2 linked regions of the Caenorhabditis elegans genome follow. The protein of the gene in region 1 interacts with the protein of each later gene in a pairwise test. Each region holds a gene or a part of one and is shown on either strand. Other genes may lie near its edges.

What was found.
Region 2: the proteins of slfl-5 (region 1) and rei-1 interact in a two-hybrid assay, tested with the Caenorhabditis elegans proteins (2 studies listed by BioGRID).

The regions. Positions count from the first base shown.
Region 1 is NC_003283.11:12,239,422-12,246,865, reverse strand, and holds slfl-5 (Tr-type G domain-containing protein), read left to right. Parts: upstream 1-1,821; 5' UTR 1,822-1,835; coding exon of another isoform or gene 1,836-1,865; 5' UTR 1,866-1,917; coding exon 1,918-1,979; intron 1,980-2,157; coding exon 2,158-2,557; intron 2,558-2,605; coding exon 2,606-2,836; intron 2,837-3,329; coding exon 3,330-4,085; intron 4,086-4,150; coding exon 4,151-4,265; intron 4,266-4,333; coding exon 4,334-4,536; 3' UTR 4,537-4,895; downstream 4,896-7,444. Other genes in the region: rad-50 (Zinc-hook domain-containing protein), read right to left, coding at 1-19, 67-177, 233-281, 1,210-1,220; ttr-22 (Transthyretin-like family protein), read right to left, coding at 4,954-5,219, 5,268-5,436.
Region 2 is NC_003281.10:4,095,588-4,101,048, reverse strand, and holds rei-1 (Guanine nucleotide exchange factor rei-1), read left to right. Parts: upstream 1-2,858; 5' UTR 2,859-2,920; coding exon 2,921-3,039; intron 3,040-3,197; coding exon 3,198-3,581; intron 3,582-3,633; coding exon 3,634-3,733; intron 3,734-3,789; coding exon 3,790-3,921; 3' UTR 3,922-4,146; downstream 4,147-5,461. Other genes in the region: C03C10.7 (uncharacterized protein), read right to left, coding at 4,147-4,303, 4,503-4,612, 4,662-4,882, 4,935-5,004. UniProt on the Caenorhabditis elegans protein: Guanine nucleotide exchange factor for Rab GTPase Rab-11.1. Spatially and temporally regulates the distribution of Rab-11.1 to target membranes during embryogenesis. Plays a role in cytokinesis, probably by targeting rab-11.1 to the cleavage furrows.

The DNA.
Region 1 (7,444 bases):
TGAGTGCCTCGATGGTGGTCTGAAATTTAAAAAAAAGTTATGATGCTCTAATCATATTGATCTTACCGTTTTTCCTGTTCCATTTGGTCCACTGATTAGTGTGCACGGAGAGAGGAAATCAATTTTGTGAACATCGTGGTCCTCATCACCGACACTTCGAATTCCTCTGATGTGTAGCTGAAATTTTCATAAATTTAGTATTTTCAGAGTAAAAATAAATTTGCAGACTTACGCGTAAAAATTTCGCCATAAGCAATTCCCAGGCTTCGATAAGCAAATATCTGAAACATTCTCATTTGCAAATAGGTTTATTCAAAGAAAAATGTTGCGAAATTAAATTAATATATTGATTCCGTTGGAAACTCTGGAAAAAGGACTAAGTAAAGTGAAATTCCTGAGTATTTTCAATTAATTCCTGTGTAAAGTGGGCCTTCTGCGTATTTTTAATTAATTTTTGCGTAAAGTTAAACTCTTGCATGAAGTAAAAAAACAGAAAAAAAACAATTTCGAAAACTGACAAAAAAACAGTTTCCGATTCAAAAATAGAGCGCAAAAACAAAATACGATGCTCCGAAGTTCCGCAAGCGCGTGTTGTTTAACCGAAAGAAGATTTCGATTTTTTCTTTTCCCTCTGCTTTTGATTTTGAGCTTCATATTAATTTCTTCATTCTGAAAATCACGAAAACTCGGTAAAAGCTTCCTGTTTATTTTAATTTTTGGCAATCATGAAATTTTTTTTCAAATTCTCACATGGTTAAAAAACATCAGTCAAACGATTGATAAGATATTTTCCGAACAACTGATAAACTCGTATTCTAGAAATCGTACAAACGGTTTTATTGTTGTTTATTTTGAACTGAACGTTTTTGTCTAAGGAAATGCATCATATTGCGTCACATCGAATGTTGTTCTTAAGAGTAAGGAAATATTTCGCAATTTTCTGCAACATTCTTTAACGGCTGTGTTCGGTCATTTTACTTGTATTTAGGGCTACTAACAGCCCCACTTGTATTATTATTATGATTTTACCTTTCGTTCCAGAAGGCTGAAATTTTAGAAATTCTGAGTAAGACTAACTTTTATGTTTTATTCCAATATATTTACTGTTTAAAAGTATCCTCCATTGTCACCTGGTATTTAGAATGATTATTAACCTGTCGAATGCACCTTCAAAGATCTCAATGCCCACCTACGTGTGAAAACACTTACTTCCTTCTCATTTCCGTCCGATCGTAATCAAAAAGAAACAGGTTTTCCTCTCTCTCATCATCTGTCTTCCAAGCTTCAACTTCAACCTTCCTTCAGTATCTTCTTATTCTTCCAGCTGTCCACTGCCAATCAGTAGGTTCATATTCCCGTAAAAAATCGCCATTTTGTCTGGTTTCTTTTGATTTGAACGCTTCTTTTCATCTCATTCCTCTCTTATTCTCTCATGTATTTGCTCAATCATTCAGCATGCTCACTGTGAAGCTTGTGTGTGCATAATTTCTTTTCATAGAATCGAGCGACGTGGAAATCGATATTTCTCACTGTTCCTTTTTTCAATATTGACAAATTTCCAGTTCAAAAGTCAACTTAACTTGTTGTTATGTTCCTCTCCGATTTTTTCTGTCTTATTTTCTTCTTTCGAAAACAACAGCGGCTCCCCTTTCCCACTTTTTTCTCTTCATACGTCAATTCTCTAAGTTCTCATATTTCTCTACAATCTCTACATGTTGACCGAACCAGTTAACAACTGACTTTTCAAAACCTCTCGAAACACGACATTTTTTTCTCAAGTACCCGAACCTCTCTCCCTATGATTAAAATTTGATGTTCCAGAATCGGAGAATCGAATGATAGATCGAATACGGCGTGAGCAGTAGTTATCCAACTGATTATCTCATTTCATAAAATAATAAACAACTCAATCTCACTATGGATTTTATGATTTCACATTTCTGCGATGAGCAGAATCATCAGCCACTTTACAAAACTAGGTGAGTACGATAAATATTGTGTGGTTAACATTTGAAAATTTTATTTCTAAAATCAAAATTCATTTATTTAAATTCCTTATAAAAAATAAATCAATTCTAAAACATTGATATAAAATCAATTCAATTTATTTAATGTCGCCAAATCATTTAAGGTAGTATATTATATTATTTTTTACAGACGACAATCAATATCGGACTCTAAAAATGGACCAACACTTCTCAGCTCTTCACTGCCAACTAACGATGAATGTTCCGACTCCGACACCGAAAACCGATTGCCACCTGAAACGGAGCTTGGAAATATTGAGTACAAAGCAAAATTAGTAAATCCAACGACATCTCGTATACAACATCTGATCACTCAAATGAAATGGCGTCTTCGTGAGGGTCAAGGAGAGGCTATTTATGAAATTGGCGTTGAGGATGGTGGAATAATGTCTGGATTAACAGACGAGGAACTGAATGATTCACTTCGGACCTTGAGAACGATGGCCCAAGCTCTTGGGGCGAGTATGGTTATTTTGACCGAGAAAGACGTTACTGTTAAGGGATCAAATTCACGGAGAACTGTAGTCGAGGTAATTATTATTGAGTCATATTTTATCTAAATGAAATTATTTTTCTAGGTACTTGTCCGAAAGGTTCCTGAAAGCCAGCAATTCATCGAAGTTCGTCTTGCTGTCGTTGGAGGATGCGATGTCGGAAAATCAACACTGTGTGGAGTGTTAACACAGGGTTGTCTGGACGACGGAAACGGAAAAGCAAGAATTGGAATATTCAGATTTCCACACGAAGTGCGAACAGGAAAAACCAGTTCTGTCTGTAATGATGTCATTGGCTTCGATAATCGTGGAAAGGTTAGAAATTTTTCGAAACATTCAGAATGGGTTAAAATATGCTTGAAAATATTTAAAAAAAAAAACAGTAAACTGATTAAATTGTAGATAATTTCTTTATTGAAAATTTTAAAGTTGGATCCTATTTATTAGGGTTTTTGATTTAAATAATTAAAAAAATGGACGGTAATACCGAATATAATTGTTTCAAAAAATCATAAAATTTTTATAATTTTTTCAATTTTGCAAAAATAAAAAAATAAAAATCTGTTTTTGAATTCCCGCCCAATTATCAAAAATAAAAATTTAAAAAGTTAGAAAGATTTTATAACTTTTAAAATCAATTAAAATCGATTATTACGGTCAATTTTTTTTTCATTCAAAACAAAATTTCAAAATGATTCTACTCCACTTTTGAATACAAAAACAATGAATTTAGAAAAATTTTATTTGAAAAACTTAAATTCGATTTTTTTAAATTTATTTATAAATATCTAATTTTTACTTTTTTCAGCTAGTCAATTATGCACAAAATAGTCTCGAAGAAATGGTGGAGAAGTCTTCAAAACTTGTAACACTTATCGATCTGGCTGGAGACGCAAAATATCAGAAAACGACAATTCATGGATTAACCGGATACACTCCTCATTTCGCTTGCCTTGTTGTAGCCGCCGATCGAGGAATCACGTGGGCCACTCGTGAACATCTTGGATTAATTGCCGCTTTAAACATTCCAATGTTTGTACTGATCACAAAAATGGATCTAGTCGATCGACAAGGACTTAAGAAAATCATCAAAGATGTTTCCAATCTTGTTGCGAAAGCAGGGATGACAGCTCGCGAGAAAAGAGTGAAAACTAAAAGAGACGCAGTGAAGGCGGCACAAGAACTCTGCGTTGGTAGTATCGTACCAGTTCTTGCTGTTAGTTCAGTGAGCGGAGAAGGTTTTCGTTGTCTCAGAACACTTCTCAATTGCCTTTCTACAGCTGGAACTGCAGAGTCACGTATTCAACTAGTTGGACTCCCAGCCTTTTTCACAATCGAGGAACTATATAATGTGCCTCATGTTGGACAAGTAGTTGGAGGAATGCTATCTGAAGGACAATTGCATGAAGGAGCAGATGTTCTTGTTGGACCCATGAAAGATGGAACTTTTGAAAAAATTACTGTCGGGTCGATTCGAAGAAGCCGGCAAGCCGTAGGATGTGTTAATCCTGGTGAAGCTGCATCGATATCCTTGAATCTTCCAGACGGTGTCAGTCTAAGAAGGGTAAGTATTTTTTTCCACAGAAAAATCATTCGAAATGTGAAACATATTGATTATTTTCATTAAAGGGAATGGTTCTTGCTGAAATCGATCATCAACCACCAGTTTGTTACGAATTCACTGCCAATCTTTTACTGCTGTGTCACTCGACGAAATACATATGCGAAGGATTTCAAGCCACAGGTGAGTACTTTTTCTCATTTCAACTTTCAGTTTTGATTTTTTCTGAAATAATTTATGAACTTTTTCAGTGTTTATCGGAAGTGTCTGTACAACTGCCATTATTACTCACATCGACGATGCAGACTGCATCCGTCCAGGAAAATGGGCTGTAGTTAAAATGTGTTTCGCCTATCAACCAGAAGTCATTCGTGAAGGATCACCAATTATTCTTCGTCAAGGAAAAACCAAAGGAATGGGAGAAGTATTAAAAGTATTTCCGTGCACCCAATGATAATTGTTAGTCTGAAAATCTCTAAATTTTACTGCCACCCCCCCCCCCCCCTCCCAATTATCTTGTATATTTTGTGTAGACCTCTTTTTTGTAGTCTTTTTTCACTCTCTCTCTCTTTGCCCTCTCCTCCTAGGTACCCGTGTGTTTACATTTTGCTCCGGGTTGATAATAGTTGTACATAGTTGAAATTGTACAATTCTGAATATTTGTTCACTAAGTGAACCTTTTTGTCTCCAAAAATACTCTAGATCCTCTTTTTTCTCTTCTTCCAGGTGCCCCCACTCATTCTATTCATTTTTTGTAGCATTTTTTGCGCTACTGCTTTTTTAGTTACAATTTTAAAAATGAACTGAATTCACTCTTCCTAGATGTCCCATTTCAATTATTCTAGAAACAAATTTATTAGGAAGTACACATTCAATGGATACAATCAGTGGTTTCTCCACTGAACTGATTAGCTAAGTTCAAAGTTCCAATATCATAATTATCAGTCGAGCTACTTCCAGATGCAACTGCATAATCAGGAATATTGATTGTCACTTTCTTTGAACATGGTCCATTGTAATTACAACTATGATATATATTCACTTTTGGATCCAATGTTAAAATATCTGTATATGTTCCAGAAACAGAAAATGTTCCATCAGATGAGGTGGTCGTCGAACCTAATTTCGAGTCATATACTGAAAAAATCAATTGTTTCAAAACAGTTCTTCCAAATAATAACTTACTCGTTCCATCGTCATACATCTTCACGAGAACTCCACTGGCTGGCTGTCCTTCACAAACCAATTTTCCCGTTACAGTAACACTTTGAGTGCTTCCGATAACATTGAGTAAAGCATCGGAGCAATGAATCAAAAAGAAAACAGAAAGAGCAATATATGTAATTGAAAACATTGTGAACACAAAATTCAGAGTGATTCTTGTAAGACATTTATATACTGTCTACAAGAAGTAAATAGAAACACAGTTCGAGTAAATATAGTCGTTACAAATTGTTACTTTGCTCACTGACTCAATAATTGTCACTTAAAATGAAATCATAGATCAACGACAAAGGATATAATTGGTTCTTTTTAGATAATTCTATTGTAAATATCAACTTTGTTCAACGACTAAAAGTCCATTTTAAATTTGGTGAAACGCCAATAGTAAAAACTTTTAAAATCACTATATGATGCTCACAACGGTAGAAATGACTCAGTTTTCACATTTCATAGTTTTGAAGGTTGACCAAAAAACTTTTAACTTGGATTACATTAAATTAATTTGTAATTGATTTGTAGGGTTTCGAACATACAAGAATGCTTAATGTGATAAAGTTTAAACTAACTTTAAGAACATACTGAAAATTACAAAAAGTGTGAAACATGCTAGTGATTAAAAAATAAATATTCAGTATTTTTGGTTCATTTGTATACTTGACGGAACTGACCACATGGTGTCAGAGTGTCCCATATCGGTACAATCTACAAAAAATTCTTAAATTTAGACGCAGACTTCTCAGCAGATTCCGCATGGTTGAGAGCATGTTTATGCTCGAGAAATTCCTGATTTCTCGTAGATCAACCCGTAATGGGACAGCCTGACACCACGTGACTGAATCTACCACACCTTTACACCAAGACTACTACGACAAAATACTATTAAGGAAAATATTTTTTGCTCAATAGTTTCCTGATCTGAAGCTATGTTTTTGACTTTGTCCACTGAATGCAAAATTATATTCTAGAAAATAGTTCAAATTAATTGAAGTGGATCTACGAACCTCTAAACTCTAGAAAAATAGGAAGGAGGAATTTATATCGTAAATTAGTGTATAAGGTAGAAAAAGTTCAGGACTCGAAAAAACATAATATTTTTGAATTGAATCGTAGTTGCAAATCACGTATATATTAGCAGACTATGGAAGAAATTGGGGTTTTATCAAAAAAACAAGATACAATTGAAAGCGATTCTACAAATGGTCCGGAATATAAAGTTATAATGCCCCAAATAAAAATCGAACCATCAATTCTCGATATGCAACGCTTTCATCACAGTTGATCTATAATTCCGTGACATTGAAAAATTGATTAAACAATGTGCAGCCGCATTGAAACAGAAAAATGTATCAACCCAAACATCGCCATACAAGAGAACCATGTGGAGAATTGTATTAAATTGTGGATTAATGAATATCCAGATAAATTCAAATGCACCACCAGGAAGACTTGAAATTGTGTAGAAGATTGTCATGCACATTATCATCCTTCCCGACCGATATCTTGAAATTGAATTTAATAGTTAAGTTAATAATCAAATCAGCTGGCATACCGTTCTATTGCATCTTGTCTACTGAGTGTCACTGATGCGAAGCGTGCAGATTTAATGATTTCAAACATTAAAAGTGCACCAAAAATTGGATAAACAATTGTGATGATCATCTGAAACCAAAAAATGAGTTTATGTTTTTGTATTAATAAATCTAGTAAAAATACTTCGAAGTTTGAAAAATAATCATTCAAACAATTCCAATACGATTCAAAAAAAAAAACGGAACTATTCTAAAATTGCGGGCAATAAAATTACATTAATTTTGAGTTGTTCCAAATTCTAATAATCTCAGATTTCCAATCGCATACTTGTCAGATCAAATTGCTACTCGGAAGTTTAGCTATATCCTAGAAAGCGTAAAGCAAAATCCAAAAAAAAATTTTAAAGTCTTCCTACCCGAAAACTCCCAGTTGTGTATCGATAATTGTCTATCGAAATAATAGGATGTTCTCCAATCTGGTGATCGTAAAACATATTAGTGAAGTTTTCTGGTACTCCCGTGCAACTGAAAGATAAACGTTACTTCAAGGTTCTTTGTAAAATGAATCTTTCTCACTTTTCATCCCATGGTGCACCAATCAAATCATAT
Region 2 (5,461 bases), on another chromosome or scaffold:
TGGCTTTTCAAATTGATGAAGATTTTGAAAGAGAGATAGAGAAAAGTAAACTCTTTACTTTGAAGATTCGAGGTTCATTTCACACAATTGATCACTCGAAACTATTTTAATCAGTTTCCAATTATTTTAGGTTTTTCCACAGAACAAGGCTGTGAACGTAGGCACCTACACGCCTACCTTTAGGCCTGCGTACCTCTCTATAATGAATTCCTATCTCAATAGTTCTAAAGTTTGAACAGTATATGATACTTTTATTTATAACTTTAAAGATTATCTCGTAGGTTCTTTGGTTTCTTGCAGAAAAAAAACTCGATTTTATTTCGCTGACACAATTTATCATTTTATCGTTATCCTTTGCCACTTACATATGTTAACAACGACGAAACACATCACACGAATTTTATTGTTGCGCAATTTTTTAGTTGAATCACAGAATTATTAGAAAAATTGAATCATAATAGTTTAGCGTTTTTAATATCAAAAATTGCACCTCAAATCGGGAACTTGAGTTACCACAATTTCTTGTGTACTGGCGGAGAGAGGAGGATAAAGGATACAGGCAGCAGAGCCTAAGCTCAAGCCAAAGCCCAACAAGCCTGCGCGTAATCATAAGCCAAAGCCTTAGCCTAAGCATAATCTAAGATTAAGCCTAAGCCTAATCCTAAGCTTCGGCCTACGCCTAAGCCTAAGCCTATGACGAATAGTCAAAAGTATCAAGTTTTTCAGATTATTTGGAACATATGTAATTGAACATGTGATTGGAAAAGTCCAAGACGAGAACACATCCATCACCTCCCCACTCATCCTACCCCAATTTTCTAAAATCACATGGAACCTGTTATCAGAGTTTGTTTGACTTCTCTCGTTTATACGGAACTGAAATATTTTTTATGAAAAGTGTGATCACATGTCCGACGACACCCACTAAAAATTTGACAACTTCGTACTTTCTTCTCCTTTGAAATCATCAATTTCTCCTGGTCATAGGGAAAAGAGATAGAGAGAGAGAGAAAGATAGAAAAGAGAAAATAGATCAGTATCTGTCTATTTCTCTAATTTTCTCACTTATTCTTCATCGGAAGAAGAAGAAGATGAAAAAGACAACGTCATCCACAACCTGTCGTCCCCCACACACCCCTACGACCACAAAAACTGTCCCCGTTTTTTCGACACCTCCCTGATGTTTTTCCCGCAAATCCTATTAAAGCTCACGCGCCTAGACTTCTTCAGATAGCACTCATAAAAGCTATTATTCGCTATTTGTCAAGTAAAATTGCCACATTGGCTCCTGTCACGAATGAAAATTTTCCGCTACCGTACCCTTTATTTTTTGTTGTAATTTTCAATTCTTTTGATATTCTTGATGTAAAAATTATATTTTTTATCGAAATCCCGTCAAATATGCTTGGAAAAAACGAAATTTCAAGAAAATCATCATCTACCGTACTCATGGGTACTGTAGCTGAAAAGTTTCACTCGCGTCGAGACCCGGAAGCATCATTTTGCTTTGAAATTTGCGCGTTTTTCCGATTTTCGATTCAATTATTAGATGAATTGAAAACTATCAGCGAAATCGTTTTATCATTTGACAAAACCTGAAAATTTTCTAAAAATGTTTTTTGTCAGACTGAAGAAAAATTATTTTTAGATTAAAGGATTAAAGGATTAAAGGACGATCGGTTCTTCAAGTGCTATGCACTGCGGATCTGGGATTCAGGTACACTGCCTGGTGGTGATCCTCTGGGCTGTAATTTTAAGCCACGTCCTAGCCGGGGACTGTGGCCGATAATCCAGTCGTGGATTGCTCCACTTCCCAATAGACATTCTCTTATTTTAAAAATAGAAATGTTGCAATTAATCGGAATTTTGCAGTTGAGGGGTATCGCCCCAAAAAAATTTTAAAAAAATATGTTTCAAAAAAGTACTTCTTGAGGACTGAGGCGACTCAACTCTTCCCCCACCTTCCACCAATTTTGCTCATATAACAGTCCACAATTGTGTGCCCCTCAATATATTTCCCCTTCGGTATAATTGGCCCATTTGCCCTCCACAATCTATTCACACTGTCCATCCCGACCGTCCGTCTCTGTTTCTCTCTTCTCCGTCGTCCCCCACACTTTTCCTACCCCCGCTTGTCGTTTGCACGGCCTTCAAACCCAAAAAACCGATGAAAACCGTATCTGAAATAGTTCTACTCTCCGTTTCCTCGTTTTCTTTGTTCTAGAATGGTTTCAAGTTCGAAATTCTCAAAAAATTATGAGGTTCGAATATTACCCAGACGCAAAATTTTGAGATTTTTGCCCTGAAAATACGGTACCTGGCCGCGAAAAGGCAATTTCTGAGATTTACAAACGGGGGTGCGCCTTTAAAGGATACTGTAATTTAAAGCTTTCGTTGCTCTCTGATCAGATTTTAATTGATTTTTCATAGTTGATCTCACAATTTATTAAATCGAATAATTTTGAATTTTATTATCTTAATTATTAATAAAGTAATATTATTTAATAAGTAAATTTATTTTCAACCAAAAACTATGAAAAATCAATGAATACTGAAATTACAGTACTCTTTAAAGGCGCACACCCATTTGTTTTCAACAAAAATGTCATGTCGAGGGCCATTTTTGCAGCTGATTTTTGCTATTAACCCTGAACAACTAAAATTGAGAAAATTGTCCAAATTTCATTCATTTTAGCCATTTTTGTAAGTCGAATTGATAATTTCTGAAAAACTCCCGCCATTAATTTCAAATTACGATCTGCAAACACCATCACGTAAAAATGCACAGTTTTGCCTCACGTTAAAATTTGCAAATTTAATTTTAAAAAATTTATTTTCTCATCTTTTCTCCTCATATTCTCTTCATTTCTAGTAATTTTCGTTCGAACAATTCGATTTCAGAATCAATAAAACATTAAAAATGACGGAAGGGGACGATCAATTAATATCGATTCGCAAACAACTTGAAAATTTAAATAATGCAACAGATGACATCAACAGTTATGAGATGAAGTTGGAAACTGTCAAGAAACAGTTTTGGTGAGTTTTAATTCATTTTTTATTTTAAAATAATTGCTTAATCGCTACACGTCTAAAACTGGAAACCTTTTATTGCACTAGTCATTCTTAACCAATTAATTCGCAAAAAATCGTACCAAATCTGGTTTTGATGCTAAAATAATCTTATATATTTTCAGTGAAACCCAACTAATGTTCAACAAAGAAATGCTTGGAATCCCTAAAAAGTTGGCCAAACACATATCAAAATCCCGTCAATTTTTCGATTTGAAAAGCCGCGAATCGGAAATCAGAAGATGTGTTCAACAAGCGGCAGCTCAATTTGAACGACAAAAAACTTCAGTTGAAATGGCAAGAGAACAAGTGCAAATACTGCATAATTCATTGAATAACAATCAAGAATTGGATGCAGAGAAACAATATGTTGATGTGATTGAGCAACAGTTGGAATTGGTTAAAGAAGCTGAGGGAGAATGTTTAAAAGCTGAAAAGTGTCATGCATCACGTGTCAGGGATTTGTTACAGTTGGAAATGGCTTTAAGGAAATGTTTAGAGGAAAATGGGTGAGTTTCAGGCATCAGGCAATTTTCTGACAATATATTTTCCGAATTTCAGATCTGCCATCAAAAAATCCCGGCCCTATTACGAACGAAAAGAAGTTCTGACGCGAACAATGAATTCTCAACTTGAGTTAATGTCAATTTTGGAGCATGAAGTAAGAACTAATAAGAATAAAACTGTATATAGATTAAAATAATTTTTAATTTCCAGGTACAAGAACGAAAAGACAGCTACAGTGATTCGATGCGAGCTTTAGAGCAGATCAGCGATCAAATTCATCAGGAGCGTTCCTCGCAAAGCAGTTTGGCTCCTTCGAGTGATGCAGAATCCGACAGCTCTTGATACTCTGAGCCACACCCTTTCTTCTCAATTTTCCACGTGTAATATTAGATTTTTCACGAAGTTTCGAAATCTCGATCTCACTTGTACTCACGTTCCACACCCAATCAACTTCACCAAAAATGTATTTTTACGGGTTTCAATCCCCTTTCTCTTTGCTCCTCATTTTCTCTATGTATCTCTTTATTTTGTGTTCGTCTGGTGCTTAATAACAATTTTCTTGAAACATTAAAAATTGTGATAATGAGAAGACGATGAAGTGCCCACAAAAGCATCTACGTGTGCACACGCTGCACTTCTTGTCGGAGCACTGGATTTATCAAGCAATCGTGAAGCCAATGTGCATAGCTCACAAAGAGTGGATGCCCTTGTCGCTGGTGGCAATCTGAGGGTGAAATAGATTGTTGAAAAATTGTAATTTTTTGAAATTTTGAGACGTTAAAAAAAATCGAAATTTCGTTGACTTGCAACTTGCGCGTCATATATAGTGTCAAGTACGCATACACCGCGACGGTAGAATGCACAAAATTGTCAATTTCAAAATTTTCATGATTTTTCTTTTATTTAACAATTCAATTTCTCACCTGCTAACCGAAGCGGGTCTTCTTTCTTCTGGAATAATTGGAATTTCTTCATCAGAATCCCATTTAAAATACTGAAAATTGTTCACACGCCGGCCAAGCTTTGGAATGCTCTAAAAATATTTGTGTCATATTATTGTTTCACTTAATTGAAGAGATTACAGGCATTTCTATATCATTCCGATTATTGCTCAATTCCCTAATAACCAACAATTCATGAGTTTCTCTACGAATTTCTTCATCTCTCTTCCTCTGTTCCTTCGCTTTTTCCTCTTCTTCAATACGACGTTTTACCTCTTTCTTCGCCTCTTCCCGCTTCTCATTTCTTCTAATCAGTTCTTCAATTTCACTTGATTGTTGTGGTTTAGGTGGCTTGAGTGGTTCTGGGAGAATTTTCAGGCACCTATGACAATATTTCTCAGACTCTAAACCTACTTGGCTTCCTTAAATGCGGACGTAGATCATCCTCGGACAGAGTTACAGAAAATCGACGATCTGACGCCATAATTTGATGTAAAGTAAAAATGGAGAAGCTTTTTTGTCTGGTTTGCTGGTTTCCAATGGAAACTCTCCGTACATTTTTCAATAAAACGTGGATCTAAAGCTACTAGGCAACCACCAAAATATTGTAGAATTTGAATTTCCGCCATAATTGGTTGGTCTCATCACGATATTCATCCAAATTTATGGCCCAAAACCTAAAGATAGTTTTCCAGTATTTCAATAGGCTTCGTTCCCGTCAAAAATAAGTTTTTCGAGAAAATACAAAATATTTTGTTGCGAAACTATAGTTAGGAGGTTATATTCTTTACCGTTTTTCCGCCAGACACTAAATCTTTATCAGTCGGACAATATTCATCAGACCTGTAAATTTTCTCTGTGTCTCCGTCATTTCTTTCAAAACGCGCGCCAAAATTTGAATTCGAACAATTGGCGCGAAACCTCTATTGCGCCCGCTGATT